Danio rerio: one gene and its partners. The protein of the gene in region 2 interacts with the protein of the main gene of each other region in a biochemical or structural test. Links are inferred from orthologs where the notes say so. Each region holds a gene or a part of one and is shown on either strand. Other genes may lie near its edges.

Evidence for each region.
Region 1: the proteins of ago2 (region 2) and tnrc6ba form a complex in vitro, tested with the Homo sapiens proteins (3 studies listed by BioGRID and IntAct, with this or other methods). The link is inferred for Danio rerio from reciprocal best matches to the Homo sapiens genes AGO2 and TNRC6B.
Region 3: the proteins of ago2 (region 2) and dicer1 form a complex in vitro, tested with the Homo sapiens proteins (2 studies listed by BioGRID and IntAct). The link is inferred for Danio rerio from reciprocal best matches to the Homo sapiens genes AGO2 and DICER1.

The regions. Positions count from the first base shown.
Region 1 is NC_133187.1:20,949,909-20,953,565, forward strand, and holds part of tnrc6ba (trinucleotide repeat-containing gene 6B protein), read left to right. Parts: intron 1-88; coding exon 89-2,890; intron 2,891-3,042; coding exon 3,043-3,195; intron 3,196-3,324; coding exon 3,325-3,497; intron 3,498-3,591; coding exon 3,592-3,657.
Region 2 is NC_133194.1:44,207,342-44,210,998, reverse strand, and holds part of ago2 (protein argonaute-2), read right to left. Parts: intron 2,211-3,657; coding exon 2,074-2,210; intron 1,998-2,073; coding exon 1,863-1,997; intron 1,776-1,862; coding exon 1,688-1,775; intron 120-1,687; coding exon 1-119.
Region 3 is NC_133192.1:20,754,931-20,758,687, forward strand, and holds the start of dicer1 (endoribonuclease Dicer), read right to left. Parts: upstream 2,395-3,757; 5' UTR 2,098-2,394; intron 1-2,097. UniProt on the Homo sapiens protein: Double-stranded RNA (dsRNA) endoribonuclease playing a central role in short dsRNA-mediated post-transcriptional gene silencing.

The DNA of each region.
Region 1 (3,657 bases), on a different chromosome or scaffold from region 2:
CATTATATTTTATAGTTTGTATTACATATGCTTGGTTTTTGTGTCATAAAAAAGTCTAGCATATCTTGAAGATTTTATTTTATTTCAGATCCAAGCCAGGGCCCTGTGGGTCCAGCTGCTCCCTCACTGCCCCATACGTCATCCGCCTCATCAATCGCTGCTTCTTCTTCTTCAAATTATGCAAATTCCATGTGGGGGACCAGCTCTGGCAGCCATCCCCTCTCTCAGGGCAGGGAAAAGGTGATAGTGGACCGGTCAGACCTGGAGGAATGGCCCAGTATTGCTGCTGGGGATGGATCAAAGTCAGGGGATGCAGCAGGTACAGGAGGTACAGACAGTGGTGCGATTCTGAACTGCAATGCCTCGTGGGGTGAGAGGCATCTCCAGCAGCAAGCGAAAGTTGTGGGAGGAGGGAACGGAAGGAAAGGAGTCAATTCTGGCAGTCCCTCTCCGCCCACATCCTCTGGATCACCCAATGAATGTATGCAGTCTGGTAGTGTTTGGGCTTCATCCTCCCATGAACTCATAGGGGGGAATGCAGTAGCAGCAGGCTCATTGCCCCCCATATCCAAAGCTGCCCCTCTCCCAGGGAGCTCTGATAGCTCCTTTGGTGTCAGCTGTGGGATTCCAGGTGCCAATTTTACCCCTAATGCCAATCCCTCTGCTTGGCCAGCCCTAGTACAGGAAGGGGCTGGGACAGTTGCAACAGAGGGTGGCTCCTCTTCCCTCCAAAGCTCATCTTTGTCTGCCAGCAACCCTCTTTCTGTGAATCAAGCCTCTCATCAGCACCAACTTCACCAAATGCAATCCAGAGACAGAGAGCCATCCTGTGGAGAATGGGGTGGCACAGCACTGGAACCAGGAGCAGGACCAAAAAACACTGGGGTGACAGAGGGGGCTGATATGGACTCTGGAAGCACAGGTGGAGGAGCAGGCTCTGCTTCGTCTTCCTCCTCCACCAGCTCATCATTGTGGAGAACTCAGCCTTTCCCTGCAAACTTCAAAACGGGTGCCTCAAGGACTGAATCTTGGGATGATGGAGCAGGAGGGAGCTCCTTGTCTGCTGAAGGTGGGAAGGCATGGGGATATCCCGGCCAGGACGATCGAGGAGATTTGACGGGGGCAGGTGCCTGGGGAACAGGAAGTGGGGGTCAGACCCCCGGGGTATCTCAGGGAGCGTGGGGTGGGGACCATTTGTTGGGTGGGGAATGGGGGGCATCCAGTGGTGTTGGAGGTGTCAGTGATCAAGGTGGGAAAGACGGCTCAAGCAGTAACAGCAGCAGTAGTGGTGGTAGTGTCAGCATCCCGACGACAACCTCCTCCACACCTTCAACTATGACAAGAGCTTGGGACAATCAGAAAGCAGTTGGGGATGTGGGAGCAGGAGATTTGAGTGAGTGGGGAGGCCAGGGTAGCAGAGGTGGGGAAGGTACCTCATCCTCCAGTGGTGGAGGAAACTCCAGAAGTGGCAATCAGCGCCATGGCCACCACCGCACTCATAAGCCTCCTGACCCTGAAGTGGCCTTACAGGATCTGCTTAGCCGGTCGGATCTGGACCCCAGAGTGCTGTCCAATACTGGTTGGGGTCAGACACAAATCCGTCAGAATGTGGCATGGGATTTGGAAGATGGAGGCAGAGCAAAAGCACCTGGTGGTGCAAATTCTTTGTCTATTGGTGCATCTGCTCATGCCCAGCCATACTCTGGTCCTAGTGGGAGCACAACTACTGATCCATCTTCCCCCTCTCTGCTCCAAGCTGCATCTCTAAATGCCAACTTAAACTCAAACTCCATCCTTGGACCACCCGCAGTTTCATCTGGTGAAGGTTGGGACAACAGTAGTAGCAACAGCAGTTCTTTGCATACCCGAGGCCCTCCACCCTCAGGTGTCAATATCCAAAACCCTAGCGTCTCACAATCTGGAGGTGGAGGAGGTAGCTCAGCTGGTGGGCAGGGCATGCCATCTGGGGGTTGGGGAGGGACTGCATCATCAGAAGGCCAAGTAAAGGGCTGGGAAAGCGAGGGACATGAGTGGCGAGAACGGCGAGCAGGAGGTTCGTCAGGTGGGTGGGGAGATTTCCAAACACAGGGTACTCCATCAACAGGAGGAAGTGGCTGGGGAGATAGTCAGGAGGAGAAAGGAACAAGATCAAGTGGATGGAAAGAAATGGGGAGGGTGGATGCAGGCAGCTGGGGACCGAGAGGTACCAGCGACTGGGGAGAAAAAGAGTCTAAATCGTGTAGTGGGGGGTGGGATGGAAAGGGTGGTGGAGGTACTAGTGGAGACTCAGAAGTGGGTACATGGGGTAATTGGGATGATGGAACTCCTGGAGGGACATGGGGAGGGGTGGGTGGAGACATGGGTGGAAAATCTCACCAAGGTTGGGGTGGGAAGATGCACCCTTCACAAATGCCAAACAGCCAATCAGCCTCACAGAAAGGCCCGGCACAGCAGCAGCAGCAACCACAATCACAGCCTCAGCAGTGTCAGTCAGTGGACACAGGGGCCATGCAAGGGGGCTGGGGAAGACCAGCAGGTCCTTCAGTCCAGAGCCAAAGTTCAGGGTGGAATTCAGGGCCTATACCCCAAATTTCCAATGGCCCTGGAGAGACTTCAGAGCCCAGCGGTTGGGAGGAGCCTTCTCCACAGTCCATCAGCAGGAAAATGGAAATTGATGATGGAACATCTGCTTGGGGTGACCCCAGCAACTACAACTACAAAAGTGTCAACTTGTGGGATAAAAACAATGCCCCATCTGGCCAGGCACAATCAGTGTCCCCTCAGCAGGGCCCCCCACCCCTGCAACAGCCGCCACCAGGAAGAATGCCAACAGGTCTTGGGAATAGGGACATGAACATTGCACATTCAGCAAGCAAGGGGCCAGGAATAGGTAAAAGACTTGTTTTATTCAAATTATAGTTTCATTTAACCATTGTCAAAACAGTTGAAATTCAGCATCAAACACCCAAACTAAAAAAAGGTCTCAGCATATCTTAAAAACAAATTAAAAAAAAAAAATTAATTCTTTTATTTATATTTTAGCTTCTGGGTGGGGAGGTCGTGGCTCTCCTTCCAGTCCTTGTGTGGACAATGGTACTTCAGCCTGGGGTAAACCTACTGAAGCTCCCACTGGTTGGGATGACAGTGGCAAGGCCTCAAGTTGGGGGGATCCCTCATCCAATCCAGTGAAGTCTGGTGAGTCTAGATTTTAAAATAATTGCGGTGGTTTTTTGATCACTTTCAATCGTGAATGTATTGATATTTCTGAACAGTTTAAAGGTAGATAGTAAAATTCTAAACAGTTTAATGTTGATATTTTTACAGGTTCAAAGTCTATGCAAGAAGGTTGGGTAGAAGGAGAGGGTTCAGTCAGTGCTTCGCGTAACCCTAGCTGGGAGGAGGAGGATGAGAGTGGTGGTGTTTGGAATAGTGCTGGTTCCCAAGGCAGCAGCTCTTCATATAATTCTGGAGGCTGGGGAGCCAAAAAGGGCAACAAGGTATGTCATTGGTCAGACTAGGGAACAATATTTATACAAATCTGGAAACTAATCAGGATCTTTATATCTGGTTAATACATTACATTTTTTTCAGGGCTCCTTGAAGGGTGCAGGAGATTCTTGGATGAACCCAATGTCAAGACAGTTTTCAAATATGGGA
Region 2 (3,657 bases):
CCTGACCAACTTGTAAACATGGGAGATGTGGGTATCGAAGCACCAGTTTGTACTTATCCTTGAAGTACTGGGCGACAGTGCATTCAATGGTCTGACCATTCTCTTGCTGCAAAGGAAACCTAGAGACAAACAAAATACATTTTAAAGACATCAGCTTCAAAATAATGAATCTTTCAATGAGAAATATTAAATGTGATGACAAAAAATAGAATACACTATACAAAACGCATGGTTCCACACAATTCAACCATGTGGTCTCAACACAAATCCGTCAAGTTTAATGCATTAAATTTGTCCTGCTTTTTTTAGTGTTTTTTCAGCTTATATTAAATAAGCAGTTTGAACAAGAAGCAAAAATATTTTTTGGGTGTACAGAGGTCCCTCTTTATTTGCGGGAGTTGCATTCTAAAAATAACTCTCAACAGGCGAAATCCTTGTAGTCAGCTTTATTATTTTTTGTACAATTATTATAGATGCTTTAAGGCTGTAAAATCCCTTACTACACATTTTTCTCAGACAGGAATTAGCATTTTCACTCTTTTCTCTTGTTTAAACACTCTCAAAGTAAAAAAAAAAAAAAAAAAGTCCAGAAAAATAAGTTCAGTGTTATAGAATAAAACCAAAGATCAAAACCTGCTGTCAGACGCAAACATTCATCACTGTTAGCAAAACGTTTATAAAGCTTTTTAGCTTTTGTGCGGATAATGTTGGCATCCAGTGTAATGTTCTTTTTCGTGCAGTCACTGATTCAAAAAACTTAAGCAGACTCCATTCTTAAGGGGATTGCACACCGGATGCGCCTCGCACATGACAGTTGGAAGTAACGCACACAGTACACGCACATTTGCATGTTACTTAAAATTAAATTATTCAGACGGCGCTCTGTGCCACGGCAAAAATATGAACAGTCCCGAGTCATATCTGGGCGACGCTGGGAGCTTGAGAAACCTATATAAACCCTGATAGAAACCTATATTTACAATTCTAAAATGCAAGGCGCTGTGGGGCATCCTTGTTAAAACTCACACTGATAGCGATCAAAGATTTATGTTAATTTGTCAAGCTGAATGCATTCTGTACGGTACAGGAGACATGAAGGAGATTGATTGACAATGGTCTACAGCCAATCAGGACGCATAAAAAAAAAAAGTCAAATTGCACAAAAGAAAATAAAAAATCTGCGAAAATGTGAGGCCACGATAGCTGAACCACGTTACAGTGAGGGGCCATGGTACTGAGATTAAAACCATGTTAAGACACTGGTGTTTAGATGTCCAGAAATAGTGTAAAATAAGCCAGTATTTCTAAATAAAACTTTTCCAAACATTTTATACATGCATTTAATTCCCCTTGATCTACATTAAATCCTTTAAACTGACCAGTATTGGAGTTTAAAAAAGGAATATAAAATGCATTTAAAAAAAAAATGAAAATAGTCAAAAAAAAAAACTTAAGTATAAAAATTGTTTAGAAATGTTTAAAATATGGCATGTGGGAAATGTGCTACACCCCAAATCTATGTGTGTGCATGTGTTGCTTGCTTGATATAAATTTAATTGATTGCTTAAGCTGCTTTGGGATATAAATCAGAGAACTTTTCATACAATTGAAATACAATTTTGAATAAGTATGTTGTCCTAAAAATTCTTTACTACAGCAAGTTAGAAATTGTGTCGTCAAATCTTACGTTTGATGGCTGGCTGGTCTTCTCGTCACATTACACACTCTGTACTTCCTCTTCATTTGTCCACAGTGAGTAATTTCAACCTTCAAACCTGTAAAATGAATGCAAAATTCACATTATCCCAAAATAAACTCCATAAAAGCCGTTGTAAATGTCAATGACCACTGTAAGAAATTACCCTTGATCTCCTTGGTAAACTTCACTCTTTGGGAATCTGTTAAGGGCTTTTGCTGCTCTTCGATGCTTTTAAAATCCAAAACCTCACACATGAATTCAATGACGGGTTGAGCTTTGTAGAACGCAGTGGCAGACACTAAAAACGATTATACAGAGAAATCATTAGCAAAGTGCAAAATCAAGTCCAACGAATACGGTCAGTGCAATCTTACCATCAATGTTGAGCATCATCTTCCAGAGTGATGGCCGAACAGACTGATGAAAACCAAACCAAACTTCTCTTCCTCCACCAAGAGGGTTAGAGCAGCCCTCCGATGGAGTGAAGAATGAACGTCCGACTGGGGTGTACCTGTAGAAACAGCAATAATACTTAAAACACCACAACAGCATTGTGGATGATGATCTCCCAAAATGGAGATATTAGATTAGATTAGATTCAACTTTATTGTCATTACACATGTACAAGTACAATGCAACGAAATGCAGTTTAGGTCTAACCAGCAGTGCAATAGCAGCAAGTGCAGGATACAGGAATAAGTTATAAAGTGCAGTTATAGAAAACTATGGTGATATTTACAGATGGAATGGATGTACTATGAACATTATATACAGGTTGGATAAGCTATGAACAGATTTACAATATATGAATATATGTGCAGGTTGCTATTAATAATCAGTAGTGTGCAGATAGATAAACATGATTACAAGTGTATATGTTACAATATATGAATATATGTGCAGGTTGCTATTAATAATCAGTAGTGTGCAGATAAATAAACTTGATTACAAGTGTATATGTTACAATATATGAATATATGTACAGGGATAGATAAACATGATCACAAGTGTATATGTAACAATATATGAATATATGTGCAGGTTGCTATTAATAATCAGTAGTATGCAGATAAATAAGCATGATTACAAGTGTATATGTATAGTGGGTGTGTACATAATTACAAATGCCCATATGCAGTGGGTATGTACAGTTCAATAAGTAAACAGTTATGTAGAATAAGTCAGTGCACACTTACTCAGATTTAAGTTGCTAAATGAAAAAAATATATCATGGAGTAGGGTTGCACTATATATCACAAAATTATGGTTATTGCGATAATAGGATATGCAATACAAGTAATCGCACAATTTTATGCAGTGGTGATTTATCTAAATTTGACCATTCAGATGGGACCTTACTATCTTTATCTCCACCTCCACAGTAGTTGCTGTTCATCTATTGTCTGGAGTGGCCCAAAGGTAAACTCAGAGGTAAAAATAAATGGCCAGTTTTCACTTAGTGGTACGGTAGGGTGCGGTGCGCTTTTATGGCCATTTTCACTGTCGAAAAGGTACCAAAAAGCGAACCGTACTGTACAAATTTTTGGGTACCCTAGGGTACTTAGCAAAAAAAAAAGGGTACCAAAAGGCGGAGCCAGATGCACAGCTGAATGTCTTGATAAGCCACAAAGCCAAAAAGAACAAAATCTGCCGTGTCCTGTTGTTGTTTTACGAGGTTGTTTAAAAGCTCGAGCGGTTTCACTTTCTCTAGAGAGCTTGCGATCCTCGCATGCGCGTTTATATTTGAATTAACGAACTTCTTGAGCTGATGATAACAACATGCGTGTGATTACTGAAGTGCTTCTGACATCAGATTCTTTCAGAAATGGATAAACAGGAGAAGCCCGAAAAAACAAAGGAGCAAATGATTCTTTCAGCAACCTAAAACATGAACAAACTGCTATTTTTAACTATTATCATCACCTTTTGGACTATTATGGACTGGGAATTATGGAATT
Region 3 (3,757 bases), on a different chromosome or scaffold from region 2:
CGCAATCTCGATTCAACCCCCTAGACGATCTTAATCCAGCATTTCTACGATTCTGCCAATCATATTTTCAAGTTCAGGAGAGAAGAAAAAGCTGCACGAGTCTTTTCCTCGTTTCACAAACGTTGTTTAGTGACATTGACACCTCTAAATGATGTTGAATGAGTCACATACTGTATTTATAAGGTATTATTCACCTAAAAATATTATTTTTGTTTTAATATAATGTTTTCACGATCAGGAAATCATACGTGACGTAAGCTGTTATCACAGAGAGGGGTGCGTCTACTTTAGTCAACAGAACCTGCGTATGTTGCGAGTAACAGGTAATAAAGTTCTTAATAATATTCAGTTTGTGGCACAGAGTGATCGTTTGGGAGCCGCGCGCAAAGTATGAACAAGCACTTCGCAATCAAAATGAAACAAAGTGTGCACTTCATTTAATGATCATATCGCATTTTAGAGTTATGATAACGACAAGCATTTGATATGTTTTTTCTTTCATAGCGAACTCACAGTTGTGCATGAAAATAAATGTTTACAATGTCAGTATAACTACTCTAGCCTATATATTCTTTAATAAAATCTGATAATGGCAAATGTCTGATTTTACCAGTGAATTAAATTGTCTAATATGACAGATTGCAAGCATATATCTCAAACATAATCATTCAACATAAGAATTATTATAAGAATAGATTAATATAGAATAGAATTATTTATATAAACCAGTAGACCTACACATAATATTATTATTGAGGTTGTGCCATATGTTTGTTTTTACCATACCTTTATTTTACATCTACAAAATTGTGAGAAAATCGTGATCTTTATTTTAAGCAAAGAAATGTGATTCTCATTTTAGCCAGAATCGTGCAGTTCTAACCGATACCATGTTTGTGATGCCTCATGACACCATCTCAGAAAGTCTAGCTAGCATGTTTAATCTTCTGAAGCATAGCGGACTGGTTTTGAAGATGTTATTTGTTTACATATGCATTTTATATTGCAGCCTCTATCAAATTGCGATTCGATTTTAATAAATCGCACACCCCTATTGCTAACGTTGTTTTAAAGTCACACTTAAATGCAATTTCAGATCGAATATTCAAAATAGAGTTGTAAACAATTAAAGGAACAATTAAAATGAACGAATGCACGAATATAAAATCAACTTTACCTCAGTAAGTTATTTCAGCATTCTTTAGTATCTTTGTTTGTGTTCAACTAAAGAATTTGGATTGGAACATGTAAATGAACAAATGACAACATAATTTTCATTTTTGGGTGAACTATCCCCTTTAAATGCGTCAATAAAATAGTGCTAATGTTGTTTTAAAATCATACTTAAATGCAATTTCAGATCGAATATTCAAAGTAGCATGGCAAACAATACAGAAACCATTAAAATGAAGGAATACAAAACCAACTTCACCTCACTAAGTTTTTTCAGCATTCCTTTGTAAATTGTTTTGGGGTTGGACAGGTTTTGTCCTAAACCTAAAGTGGATGAGCAAATAACAACATAAATTTCCTTTTAGGGTGAACTATCCCTTTTAATACCACACTGACTTGATTCTAAAATAAAAAGAAAACACTTCAATACGAGACTAACGTACCCCACACACAACAATAATGCTTCTTACACAAACAAATGCCACGCAGATGAAAATCAATGCCCTCCAGCAACATATTTACGGCACTATGAACACCTTAACAATCACAGAAGCATCTAAATATATCACCATACCCTAAAGATTTTTAATCATGCAAATCAGTTAGGCCTCATCGCGACCTTGGCCTTGGCCAGCAACACACCCGAGCCCCCCTCCAAAAAAAATCATGCATCTGTCAGTTTGCCAACCATTAACGCGACTTCTGCGCTAATGCTAATCTCTGATTACACATGAAGTGCATCCCCAGATCTCAAACTGTGCTCATATTCAGTATACGCCTGCCATGTGAATCAGTCTTCTAACGTTTGAGGCTAGCAGACGCGTGTAGCTAAAAAGGCATCGTCACGCAAGAATTAAACACCATACATTGATTTACCTCATTTAAAACCCTCATGTAACGAAGCACGTACGTTATTGCATTTACACGGTCAAAGGTTGAACGCACGGACAGTTCCCAACCAAATGTACACCGGACAGTTCGGTTTTTAGGCTGGCAGAGGTTAGCACGCGAGCTCGTGTTAGCTTCGGCTGATTTTATTGATTATTTCAAGATCCTGAGAGGAAAAACAAACATAAGCGATCAGCGCGGGAGGTGCTTGTAGATTGAGGCTAGTGCTCACCGATGGTGAATTGTTTTAATGGTCGTGTTGTGCTGAAGAGTGTCTTGTTAAACGGTGCGGAGCCCCTCTCTCCCCATTCCCTCCTGCTGCTGCTGCTGTTGTCAGGCTACTGCACGCATGTGAAGCCCGCTACTGCAAACAACGCGGAAACTGCGAGCACTGCTAACTACACAACAAATCCAAAGAGATTCTGCTACTTCAAAATAAAAGTCGCACTTGTAGGCAGTATGGATGTTTGAAGAAAATGTAGCGCTTTTACTCACACTAAAATAGCAGAATTTGATGATAGTTACTTTTAAGTAACGTAATGCATTACATTATTGAGTTATTTCCCCAAAAGTAACTAGTTGCGTTAGTTATTTTTTATGGTAAGTTAAGTAATGTGTTACGTTACTGAGTTATTTTTGCGTAACTTTTAAATACCTGGCTGAGGCTTGATCTCTTTCAGAACTTTTTTTTTCTATCTTTTTTTTAAATAGAGGAGCTCTGTAATTAATAACACACTGTAAAACCTACATTTACCTTTAAAAAACACATCAAAAATATTTTAGGATAATGTTTTCTGAGAATTCCTTATGCCAGGGCTATGCATGCAGTATATACAGATTATCAAAAGTTTAAAGCAATGTGTTTGCTACTTTTGTACTATTTTTCTGAAGTATCATTGTCCGTTAAGACAGTCTCCTTTTCAAAATAATGAACGCATTCTCCCATTGATTGTGTAATTTATTTTGACTACTTCACTTTTAATTCAGCATTTTAATATTTTTAAAGCTGATTAATTACAATAAAAAGTAACTTGTGTTACATTTTCAAAATAAATAAAATATTATAACAAGTAATGCACTACTTTACTCGTTACTTGGAAAAATAATATTATTACGTAAATCGCATTACTTGTAATATATTACCCCCAACACTGACTGTTGATATTTTTAAATGTTTGTTGGTACTGTCTTTCGTTTGATATTCACAAGTAGCCTGTGTATATTGTGTCATTCCAGTTAAATTTCTAATTTAATAATTTTTCCTATTTAACTTTTCTCATGCATATTTCACCCCAGACATGTTTGTAACGGAATATGTTAGTCTTTGTTCCTATAGTTTGTGTTTTATTTGAGTTTTATTTTTTTATTTCTTATGTTTTCTTTTTATTGTTTGTTTATTCATGGTTTATTTTAACGCTGGGTCTCAAAACAATAAAGATGAAATACTCAAAATATATTCACTTATAATATAACTGAGAGAAGATTTTTTTCAACACATTTCTAAACATAATAATTTTAATAACTCATTTCTAATAACTGATTTATCTTATCTAGCCATGATGACAGTACATGATATTTGACTGGATATTTTTCAAGACACTTACAGCTTAAAGTGACATTTAAAGGTTTAACTGGGTTAATTAGGTTATCTAGGCAGGTTAGGTTACTTTTAATGCTCTATAAGAAAGGATTTGTC